Caenorhabditis elegans: one gene and its partners. The protein of the gene in region 1 interacts with the protein of each later gene in a pairwise test. Each region holds a gene or a part of one and is shown in the gene's direction. Other genes may lie near its edges.

Region 1 (3,858 bases):
GATTCCCGGTCAGTGATCCATTTCTTAGGGTAAATCCCAACAGGTATCCCATTGAGATCATTGGAGATTCGAAAGTTGGCGGGAGTCCATTTGGCAGATCAATCTCCACATTGATATATTTCACCTCACCAGGTGCGACGTCACAACTGTAATTGGCTCCGCGGAGCACTGTTTCACCATCTCTTCGATATTTGGATTCAATTGGGCAGTCGGAGTGACAATCGTTAAGAGAACACAATGATTTCTGTGGGCGAGAGTGGTAATGGGATTGTTGAATGAGCTCGAAACGAAGATTAATGATTGGTTTTGTTGAATGATTCTCCATGATGGCAAGTGCTCGGATTGTCTCCCCTGCGAGGAATGCTCGTTTGGAAAAGTGAAGCTAAAATATAATGAGTGAATTTTTTGACTCTACTTTTGAAATTGAACAATACCTTCAACAAAAACAATCCATCTTTGAAAATCGTTCCAGAATTCTTCGACTTGACAAATTCCGCGTACTTCATCATTTTTGGCTCAGAAAGTGTCAGATTTGTCTTCTGAACCACACGGAATGTATTCATCATTTTTAACTTGAGTCTCCACGGACGATCAAATTCCACAGTAACAGAATACTCAATTTCTCCAAACATTCCGCAAAAACTTGGCGGAGAATTTTCTGGAAGTCGGAATCGGAAACGTGATTTGAGAGTTCCAGCGGGGATTGTGTCCTGAATGGGAATATTTTGAAAATATATTTATTAAGTATTAAAAACTCACAACTCCATCTTTGGCAATCCATCCCATAAATGTTCCGGCAAGATGGCGTTGGACATTTGAGCTCTCCGATCCTCCAAAATTACACTTTGATTCTCCTTTCCACGTGATTTCCATATATCGTGCAGAAATTGGATCTTTTGTTGTGAGCAACACTTTTCCAGAGACATAGTCGCCAGGCAGGTATGTTTTGGAAGGATTGGAGAAAACAATGTTCACAGACATAATTCAAAAGGGAGAGATCGAGATAATAAAAGACTGACTGAATGAGACAGATTCTACGTCGTTGTAATCAACTTTCAGCGTTTGTGGGCGGAGTTTCCCATCTTGCTCGGAGAGTGTGGAGGTGATGTGACAATATAGAAAGGTGGTAGATTGCCACCTGCTCTTTTATGAGAATTCCAAATCGATATTGTAATTTTTCTGCACCAACGAAGAACAGTGTCGGTGTAAAAGTCGTGTTTGTTATGGAAAAACGTATTTTCAGATTTTTATCTCCAATTTTCAAAAAGATCTGCATAAAAGAGCAAAATGCCAACAATGCCATCAAGTTTCCAACGTCTTCTTGATATCCCACCTACAATTTGAAACTGAAGAATCTGATAGTGGCACAAAGTCCGAAGGTACAGCTCATAGGTGAAATGCTCAAATAAAGAGAAAATAAACGAATTTTTATTGGTTTCAGCGCCCCAACATACAGCAAAGATCTGAATACAATTCGTTCAAGACTTTCAAAGTTTGTAAGAGGAGGTCAAAAGAAAGTGACAAAAGCAGAAGACAACGATGATTGAATTGTTCTATTCCATTGATCTCATCGAAATTTGATAATATTTTGATAATAAATAATTTATCAATTTAATTAATATAACAACGTGACATCGTTTGTACTTGTTTTATTCAGAAAAAAATTACAGAAAAATAAAAAGTGAAAACAAAAACTGACTCAGTTCTAAATATTTTCTTATCGATAGCTCTTTCGTATCCGCAACAATCCATTCGGAGTAAGTTAACATTCAGATTGCGCGTTGGGTCTGACAATGAGGGCATAGTGACTCTACCAGTTACTAGAGAAGCGGACTGCATTGACATGAACTTCTTACAGATGACAACCAACAACAATAGTTTTCATGTAAAAGGAAAAGAAGAAGTACAATTCGAACGGAAGAATGTGGTTGTAGCATGTGATGTGGTCAATGGGAAGGTAAATGAGGGCTCATTTCGTTTTTGTTTGTTGGGAAATGTTTCTGAAATAATTTATTGAGATGGAAATACATTTCTTTTTGAATAATGTATTCAACGTAGGGCTCGCGCTAAGAGCTGAAACGAGCACAATTTTGTCGGCATTCCTGATGTGTTTAACATTCGAAAATTCCTTAATTTTTCATAAATACGAAGTTTGGGCTATTAAAAAACTCATTTTCAATTCAAAAATCGAAGAGATCTTGAATAATCACATTTGAGATCATATATGTGGACGTGAGTAGCCAATTGATGGGTGTTCTATTTGCTGGTGATGAGATTTTGAACGTCAATGGAGAAACCGTAAGGAATATTTTAAGATCCGTTTCCGCTTCCGTTTCAACTAATCCAAATGTTCAGAACATAAAGACAACTGCTGACTTTATCCGTGCAATCAGTGCAAAACTTCCTGGAAAAGTGACAATTGAGTTCATGCGAGATGATCATTGCCTTGTCACTGAAAAACCATTGCCACCTCGTCGTCCAAATACTCAGATGGTTGAGTTGACTTTCACTTATCGTGGAGGTGCTGCAACAGGGATTATTATTCATAGAGTCAGTAATCGGGACACTTGAAACTTTTAAAGATGGTTTCCAGATGGCAGTTGATCCAAAAACTGTAACTATTTCAATGGTTCAGTCGGCTTCCAATGCGTGTCACTATGTCAAAGGTGGAGATATTCTTGTCAAAGTTAATGACATTTATGTTCTTGATCGTGACTCTGCTAGAAAAGTATGATATCTTCCGAAACACAAATGGCTACTATTATCGCTCTTTCAGCTTCTCTATGCGAGTGTCAACAACACAAAAACGGTACGTCTTACATTGGAAAGATCCACAAATACTGATCCACTCGGCCCTGCTCCACTGCCTCCCGATGGTGCACAGAGTACTGCTGTTGGAGTGAAGAAAGCTGGAAATTCAGTGATGCTTCCACCTCCAAAACCACCCCAAGGAAAAGCCAACAAGCAGTTTGATGTGGTCAGTTTAAACCCATTTTCTTTTATCACTTCACTTAAATATAGAAACATGTTTTCATTTTCTTCTTTGCAGCTTCTTCCTTCTGATGTTTTGGAAATTATGAAGACAAACAAGATTTCTACAAGAAACCGTGCACGAATCCTCCATGTATTATCAAATCAGCCGTTGCACCAGCTCCAACTCCAGTTCCAGCCACCTTGCCATCGGAGCCTGCCCCAGAAGTTCGTATCCCATACATTCCGTCTCCGAAGCCCCTGAAAATGACTCCAAAACGTCTGGGATCTTAACTTGAGGAAGATATTCGGAATAAATTTGTTCGAAAAAAGTTACTTTGAAGTGATTTATGAATTTTTAAAGTTTTGAAAATCTACCTATTTTGCCAATAAATTGTCATTTTCATTTGATAATACACACTTAAAGATACGGCTGAAAATGTACATGACAGTAAAATATACTGTGAAGCCAGAGAGTAAAATATACTGTGAAGCCAGAGAGTAAAATATACTGTGAAGCCAGAGAGTAAATTATTCTGTGAAGCCAGAGAGTAAAATGTACTGTGAAGCCAGAGAGTAAAATATACTGTGAAGCCAGAGAGTAAAATATACTATGAAGCCAGAGAGTAAATTATTCTGTGAAGCCAGAGAGTAAAATATACTGTGAAGCCAGAGAGTAAATTATTCTGTGAAGCCAGAGAGTAAAATATACTGTGAAGCCAGAGAGTAAATTATTCTGTGAAGCCAGAGAGTAAAATATACTGTGAAGCCAGAGAGTAAAATACTGTGAAGCCAGAGAGTAAATTATTCTGTGAAGCCATGAGTAAAATATACTGTGAAGCCAGAGAGTAAATTATTCTGTGAAGCCAGAGAGTAAAATATACTGTG
Region 2 (3,636 bases), on another chromosome or scaffold:
CTAAGTTAAAAAGAACCCATGCATATGAGCCTGATTGGAAACAATGGGTGTATAGAAAAATAATGGATTGAACAATTAGTTGCATTTCATATAATAAAGTGCAAATATCGAAAAATGCAATTGCAGCCATAATGATGTTGACAGATGAGTTTATCATCGGTTTTCTGGTGAGAATTATAAAATGGAATAGGTTTATTGAAAAGCTCACAGCTGCTACTCGAGATTCATTTTCGAATACTGTGTTGTAATAAGCTCTGAAATAAATCTTTTTAAATTTCACCCTTTTTTTGGGTTTTCCGGTTATTCCAAAAAAAAAAAAACGTTTGTCTCTACAACTTTATCTTGAACCAATCAAAGGCGGAATCGTATCTGTGAGTTTTTTTTTGAAAAAGACAGAAAATAGTCTCAATATACCAAACTGTACAGCGATCGAAACGTTAAAATTTTATGATAATTTTCTCTTTGAAATTTGGTAATTTCGGCACATTCCAAAACACAAATGAATATTAAAAACGAATAAAACAAACCCCAATCCATCAGCAATCCGACATAGAAACAGGGCCGTTGATGTTTGAATATTTGGATAAAAAACCTCAATTTGACTACAAAACGACATGTCTTGTTGAGCCATGGCCTTAGACTGAACATTTCATATATGACATGTTCATATATGACATTTCATATATGAACTCATTCAAAATGTTGTCGATGCCAGGTGGTTCAAACAAATTATATTAATTTGAAAATGTAAGACCACTTGATTGAATAAATTGAAATATGACAAGTAAATAGTCGCTTTTTTTTCGAACATCAGTCAGAATAACTGAGACAAGATTGAGTCATACATAGCTACGCTGAGTATTGCTAATTAGCAAAATACCAGTGCTAATTAGCTGTTGGTTTTTGGTTATGATTTTTTTGTTTTCACATATTTGAATCCTATTGCGTATTTTATTTGATGTTATTGTCATACATTTGATAACTGTGTGCCATTAAATTTTACAATAGTATATTTTTGTCACAACCATTTTCAGAATTTTTTCCAGAAATATACGGTAATCGGAGTACGCGCTTTGCCACGTAGAAATTTGATTTTAAAACTTTCAAAATGAAAAACAATTTTAATTAATATTAAAGAAAACATTGAGAGACGTCAATGTCTATACTTTTTCAAAAAAAAACACTTCCTTCTAGTAACCTTACAATAACATGTGCTCTAGTTTTCTCGCTGGCGCTACTCTACCTTTAAAAAATATACCCACAGACGAACAGTGCATACTTCAAAGCACAATAATCACGACTAAAATTGTGCAGGTTATTAATATTTGAATCACAATTCTTTTGCGCGTATTGAGGCCATTATTAACGCAAACTAGGCAGATTCCAAACGAATGCCAGACGATTTTCCGTTTACTCAAGTGTTTTAAAAGTTTCGATGCACATGCACCAGTTGAACGGAAGTTTTTTACCAACGCTTTGGAATGTTTGCTCGGCGGAAAGAGGGCGGAAAATGAAAAAGAGTTAGAAATCAGTATATAAAAGTGAGTCTGCAAGATAGTTTAACCATCCGATTTCCTCTGTTCGAATCATTACTAAAATGCGCTTTACTTCACTTGCCATTGCCTTCCTTGCATGTGCCCTTGTGGTATCTGGAAGTGTAATCCGTGAAAAGAGACAGTGTGGATGTGCTCAGCCACAGCAGAGCCAATGCTCGTGCCAACAAGTTCAACAGACTCAGTCATGCTCGTGCCAATCTGCTCCAGTTCAACAACAATCCCCATCCTGCTCATGCGCTCAGCCACAACAAACTCAACAAGTTCAGGTACAGTTCATTAACATATTCGCAAACCATTAAATCAAAAATTTTAGGTTCAATCTACTCAATGCGCCCCAGCTTGCCAACAGAGCTGCCAACAGCAATGCCAGGCTTCTCCATCAGTGTCCCAGTGCCAGCCACAATGTCAGCAACAGTGCCAGGCTCAATGCACTCCAATGTACAACCCACCAACCACTACTACCACCACCCAAGCTCCAGTTGTCCAATACCAACAGTGCCAACCAGTATGCCAACAGCAATGTCAATCTACCTGTGTTCAACAACAACAACCAGCAGCTCAATGTCAGCCACAATGCCAACAACAATGCAATGTTGCCTGTGATTCCCCATCCACCACCACCCAGGCCCCACAAGTGATTCAAATTCAACTTGAGATCCAACAAGCTCAAGCTCAATGCCAACCACAGTGCCAGCAACAATGCCAGTCCTCATGTGTCCAGCAACAACAGCCATCGACCCAATGTGAGCCAGCCTGCAACACTCAATGTTCTGATATCTGCCAACAAACTGCTCAGGCTACCCAACAAGTCTACAACCAGAACATGAACCAGAACACCAACACCCAAATGTACAACCCATACAATACCAACACCAACCAGAACGCTAACTGCGCTCCAGCTTGCCAACCAGCCTGCGACAACTCCTGCACATCCCAACAGGCCCAGCCAGTGTACCAACAAGCCCAGCCAACTTACCAAGTCCAGCAAACCACTGCCGCTCCAATGTACGATCCATACAACAACCAAGGATCTGCCAACTGCGCTCCAGCTTGCCAACCAGCTTGTGACAACTCCTGCACATCCCAGCAGACTCAACCAATGTACCAACCATACGACACCACCACTGAAGCTCCAGCTCAAGTCATCCAGATTGTTCTCCAGACTTCTGTTGCTCAATCATCCCAATGTGCTCCACAATGCGAACAGTCCTGCCAACAGCAATGTGTTCAGCAACAACAGCCAGCTGCTCAGTGCCAAACTGCCTGCCAATCATCATGCTCTAACTCCTGCCAAACTGCTCAACCAGCAACTACTGCCTGCCAACAGAGCCCACAACAGAGCTCCTGCTCCTGCCAAGCTAACTACTCTCCATGCGGAAATGGACAATGCTGCCGCAGAAAGTAAGAAAGACCGAATCGATCGATCGAAGATTTATGGGTATCAATAGTCCATTGTTGCTCAAAATCTTTTTTGTATATTTCGAACACCATTTTTTCTTTGACTATATGATAAATAAATCATTTTCAATTATTCTACAGTATACAATAATAGACAAAAAAATGTTGATAGACCTGTACCAATCTAATTCGAATGTTTTGTTCTTCAAATTAATGATATACATACTTTACACGTAATCGAATAAACAGAAATCAGAAAACGTGATGATTAATCTATTGTTCTCTAGTTTTGATCAGTTGGAGTGGGCGCAGAAACAGCTCGTAAGCGTGAAGAGCCTCTTTTCGGGTGGGAAAATGATCTTTGCACAATTGCCGACGGGGCAAACAAATATTACGAATAGATCAAAAAGTTACGCCGATCAGCTGGAGAGATATGGTGAACACTTTCACGATACTATTTTTAAAACGAGTTTAATTCGTTCATACAAGCTTATACGAGTTTACTGTTGAAAGGTTCTACAGTAATCAGAGAAATTTCGAGTTTAACAAATAATGAGACTGACAAATATCTTCTGAAACAGTTTCTAGCAGATACAACTAAACATTTTTTGTGTCATATTCATCGAACGCCCTATCAACCTGATAAACATATTAATCTTCCGGGAAATAATTTGATAGCGTA
Region 3 (4,810 bases), on another chromosome or scaffold:
TTGCCAAATTAATACTTTGATAAATTCTCTAGATATATATATATATATATATAATATATATAGATACATTTGCATGTAGATCATTTTTCTCTGAGCTCCAAGGTTAAATTCCCAATTTGTGCAGGAAGATTTGCCCAAAATACCTGTCGATTCTGTTTTCAGCAAATTTGGAAAATCTGGAAGCATCCAATTGTTTGTTTGCAGCGCAGCCATTGGAATATTTTTATTTTTTAATTTTTTCCAGTCCACTTTTGTTTTGAAATTACAATTTTTGAAGTAATGTAAAAAGTAGAAAATAGCCTTGGGCAAACAAAACTTTGAAACAAAATTTCATTAACGTTTTTGCCCCCTTCCTCCGCCCATTTCCTCTTCTCATCCCATTCGAATTTTACCCCATTGGGAATTTCAATTCTTGTATCAGTTTTGTTCTTTTTTAGTTTTAAGAAAATTGGCATATATTTTTGAAAAAACGTCATTTTGATCTTGCAGAACAGCTCTGTTTTGTTTTGTGTCGGGTGGTACCCTAACACCATCATTCTTTCATTCAACCCATAAAAGCCAGCCGTCACAGAGGAACACATTTGAAAAAAAGGGTTCCGCGTCTTTTTAGCTTTTAACTACCATCTGCTCTCTTCCAAAAAAGGACATTGAGTGCTCATTTAATTTTTCTGCTCATTTGTTGATTGGGTTTTTCTACACTTTGACATTCTTTAAAATTATAATTAAAAATAAAATCTTTAAAAATAAAATAGAAAACAAGACGAAAAACATCCTCATAACTCCCTAAAACTAGTGTTTATCGGATTAGATACACATAGAGACGTTCGAGAAATTCAATTTTTTTATCTCATCGTTTACGTATTTTATGTATTTGCACATGTGCGATGAGCATTATTTATGTTACAACAAACCCGTTTTTCCTCATATTTCATCTTGCCATTCTCATTTATTTTCTTATTTATGATATTTGAAAATAACAGAAATTATTTTTACTCTTAATCAGATGAAATACTTTGCAAATATCATAAATGTTATAATTAAAACAATTGAAATTTTTGTTGCGAATATTTAAAACATACAAAAAAACGAAAAAATAAACATACTTAATGTTCCTAGTGAATATCAAATTTCTCTGTGCGTCCGCAAATGCATCACGTGGTTTTGTTCACAATTTCAATTAAAAAACTTCTTGAACTTTAAAAATATGTGTTCACACATTAATTAATTTTCACAAGATCTGTAACATGGGGCATAATTTTTGTGAATTTACCAATCAATCATTAATATAAGATAGTTTCACGTAAGTTCAACGCAAGTTTAAAAGTGATAAAAAAAATCAAATTTTGCATTCAACTTTGCAAATTTGTTCTCAGGATGAAACTTCTTGAAAATTTCACAAAAGTGTTTTTTCTTTTTCTTTTTAACGGTTGAAAAGTTTAACAAAAAAATACTCAATATAGCAAAATTCTAAAATTTTATCAACTTTACCCTGTTGTAGAAATTGAGATTAAACTAGCGAATTTTTCATAAACGACACAAAATTTCAAAATGAGGTTGTGATTAAATAATAATATTTTTTCCAGTCGCTCCGCGGACAAGTGGCCTAAATTTAAGATTCCTGCGGAACCTCAATTTTTAAAATTTTTTACTCAAATAAAAAGCAGAACCGTTACTCCTTCTTATGGTTTGCGTTTATATCTTCACAACTTTTTTTGCTCTCTATTGTCAATAACGTTGGTTTTACAAGATACAAATAACTTAAAGTTTCAGGGTAGTTACAGCTAAAAGAGACCGCAGCAAGGGATCCTGTCACTGAGAATGTTCATCTTTGCCGCAGTAAGTGTTCATTTTTAAGATAAACCACATGACCTTGTCTCCTTATGATCTGCCTGATCAAACAACCGGCTCTTCGTTGTCAATGACCTCGTGTTTATGTATGTGTTTTGTTTATCTCCAGCACGTTTTCCAAATCTAAACGTTTTTGATGGTTGGTTGAGAAAGAGAAACTCTACGCAATTTTGTTGTCCTTTCGTTTTGCTTCTTCACCGTCGCCAATGTAAAACGCGTGACTGCCGCGAAACAAACTCTAAAATACAGAAATCGTGAGTCAACTGTAATTTTTTCGACGATTTCCTTTCTGATTCAATTCCACATATCGATTTTTAGAATGACACCGATTTGCATGAATTATCCGTACCCCCGTCAGTCTGAACAGCAACTTTTCTTTTTAACTTTTTGATTTCTGTTGTTTAATCAAGTGCTTTTTGCGTTCATAAAATATAAGAATAAACAATAACTAAAATTAGAATTTCTTATTTTTACGTATTTTTCCTTCAACAGCATATCAATTTAATTTGAAAATAATTTGTCTTGTTCAATGTTAGGAATTTCGCAAACGTTTAGTTGCCATATGTACAAAGATATGTATAAAGAATGTGGAACATTTTCTTTCAAAAATTGAAAATAATTTATTCTAGTAACATTTTTGAACACATAAATTTCAAGTATAATCTTGAAATTTTTTCATGTCGTTAAAAAATCAAATGCAACGTAATTTGAAACACCTACATTGTGAGACTTTTGCAGAAAACAAAGTTAAAGGTCAATGAGACCCTCCGAATACGAGTGCCAAAAGTATTCAATTAAATTTCCAGTTTTTACGCGATGAAAAACACCAATCAACAATGAGCCAAAAGTGTGGTGTGCTGCTCTTTTCCAAGCGTAACATTTAAATTGAACTTCTGTTTGAAAAATGAGGAGAGCATATAGAGCCAAATGATACAAAACCACTCTCATGATATTAGAATTTCCGACTCCTACCCCGACCCGACCGACCCAAAAAATGGGGCGACCCACTCCACAGGCCTAGTCTTACATCCCTACGGACCAATTGAAAATTAGTCTTGCATGCAAGAATAATAGAGAAAGCTTCAAAGCTAATTTGTTCAAAAACAATTTCCTTTTTGGATCTTCTCCGCCTTCAAACTCCAGTTCAGAATGTTATGTGTCCAATTTTCTTTTGCACGTTCGCTCAAGAGTACACATGACAACTACATATTATCTTTTTTATCAGTTCGTCATTTGATTTGATCGCTATTCATGTGCCCTTTTCATATTTACTCTTCGCAACTCTTTTGTGAGCACCATTGTTGCAACCACAACTTGCATAATTACTACAGAATCGAAGTTTCAAAAAAAGATTGCATTCTATCTCGCGCTCCCATGCGCTTTTTTCGTTTTATTTGCGATTGAAAAATAGCTTTCCTGCTTTGCGGGCTATGCAGAGCAGTAGTTTTCAATGGTTTTGTCTGGGCACACAGAGAAGCGTACAGTGTGATTGAAAAAGTGGGGTAGCAGCCAGTATAGAGCAAGAGAAATGTACAGCATTCAATTTTTCATTCGTTTTCTATTTTGCTCTTATAAACTGTGACATTTCTAGTGACTGAAAACGAGAAATCGCAGTGTCTTGTTTAAAACTCCCTCAAAATCTTTCTCTCTGAAATAATAATTCAGAAGAATTATATATTTTTCTTTTTGACAATGACTTCAAATATAATCTCAGAAATCTTACAATTCACTGGAATGTCACAGTCATAATCTCGTATTATTTGTATCTGAAATAGACGTTATTGCGCCATGTCTAGGTGGCTTTGTTAGAGAAAATACGCGTTTTTCTTAGCTCATCTATTTTTTTTTCTTCTTGCAAAAAGCTGACTTCTTGTTGCATATTCATTGAACGTTAGCTTTTTTGGCAAAGGTTTATGTAGGATTATTTGTAAGACTTGAGTTTTAAGCTCTAAGAATTTGAAAAAAGGTATGAAAAGCTACCAAGTTTTTCATTTTTCTAGTTACGAAAATTGGCTTTCTCTTTTTTTCCTTCCAAACTAGTAGAAAAAGCACTGCCATTGAAATTAAAAAAAACAGTTTTCAACAATTTTTCACAAAGCGGAAAACTTGAAAAATAAATGCTTTTTTAAGTTAAGAAAATATGTCGTCACAAAAGTTCTTGCAGATTTTGCACTGTGCTTTCATAAAGTTATTGGGCTTTCTTGAACTGTTGTTAGTTGTCCTTGATGTACTTCAAACTTTCATAAATTCCTTTTCCAATTACAGCGTTCTCAAACTATTAAAAAAATATGATTCAATAACTGTCTGCACCATTTAGAGAGAGAGAGAAACTAAGCGTTCCTTTCTTTCCTGAAAAAAAAACAAAGTCTCATGGGTTTACTCAGATGACAAAGTAACACAAAAAAACAGAAAAAAAACTCCAAAGTTTCCGTGCCAAAAGTTGCGCCGTCGTGTCTATTTACTTGACACACTTGCCATCACACTTGAGCAAGTACAGCTGTTCCTCAGCACCGCGAGCACTTTTTCGAGAAAATTGAAATTACGTGTCAATTCATGTCTCCCACAGCAGTTCATCAATCATTTGCTGCATGTTGCGACCAATTTATCTTTTCGTTTTTTGTTCAAATTTGAAACAGAAATTTCGAATAAGGGTTCTTGAGTGTAATCAGTCAACGATTGTGATTTTTAATGCGATAAAAAATCCAGCATATTTTTTGAAACTTATCTTTGCCATTTTTCTTCAAAACAATTTTTAATTTGCTCACCTAACCAAATTAAAGGCGAAAGATGTTTTTTTTAATATAAAAATGTCGTACGTTTTGTTTCCCAAAATACATTAATTCAAATCTATTTTGGTCAAATCGTTGTAACTTTTGTTCATATCTGTCTTGTCCACGGCGCAAAAATGTTATCAAATTTTGCTAATTAGTCATCAACTTTTTTTAATTTCATAGGTTCTAAT

The links. Proteins that work in one complex are often made in the same cells at the same time.
Region 2: the proteins of mpz-6 (region 1) and abu-7 interact in a two-hybrid assay, tested with the Caenorhabditis elegans proteins (one large-scale study listed by BioGRID).
Region 3: the proteins of mpz-6 (region 1) and tsct-1 interact in a two-hybrid assay, tested with the Caenorhabditis elegans proteins (one large-scale study listed by BioGRID).

What each region holds. Positions count from the first base shown.
Region 1 is NC_003280.10:9,404,977-9,408,834, reverse strand, and holds mpz-6 (PDZ domain-containing protein), read left to right. Parts: upstream 1-1,714; 5' UTR 1,715-1,757; intron 1,758-1,858; coding exon 1,859-1,957; intron 1,958-2,217; coding exon 2,218-2,298; intron 2,299-2,355; coding exon 2,356-2,550; intron 2,551-2,593; coding exon 2,594-2,728; intron 2,729-2,776; coding exon 2,777-2,977; intron 2,978-3,049; coding exon 3,050-3,235; 3' UTR 3,236-3,301; downstream 3,302-3,858. Other genes in the region: arrd-2 (Arrestin C-terminal-like domain-containing protein), read right to left, coding at 1-382, 435-710, 760-981.
Region 2 is NC_003283.11:5,162,721-5,166,356, reverse strand, and holds abu-7 (Activated in Blocked Unfolded protein response), read left to right. Parts: upstream 1-1,574; 5' UTR 1,575-1,597; coding exon 1,598-1,822; intron 1,823-1,869; coding exon 1,870-2,961; 3' UTR 2,962-3,087; downstream 3,088-3,636. Other genes in the region: srw-140 (G-protein coupled receptors family 1 profile domain-containing protein), read right to left, coding at 1-254, 528-631.
Region 3 is NC_003284.9:12,432,336-12,437,145, forward strand, and holds the start of tsct-1 (Protein tsct-1), read left to right. Parts: upstream 1-1,761; 5' UTR 1,762-1,818; coding exon 1,819-1,836; intron 1,837-4,301; exon of another isoform or gene 4,302-4,368; intron 4,369-4,810.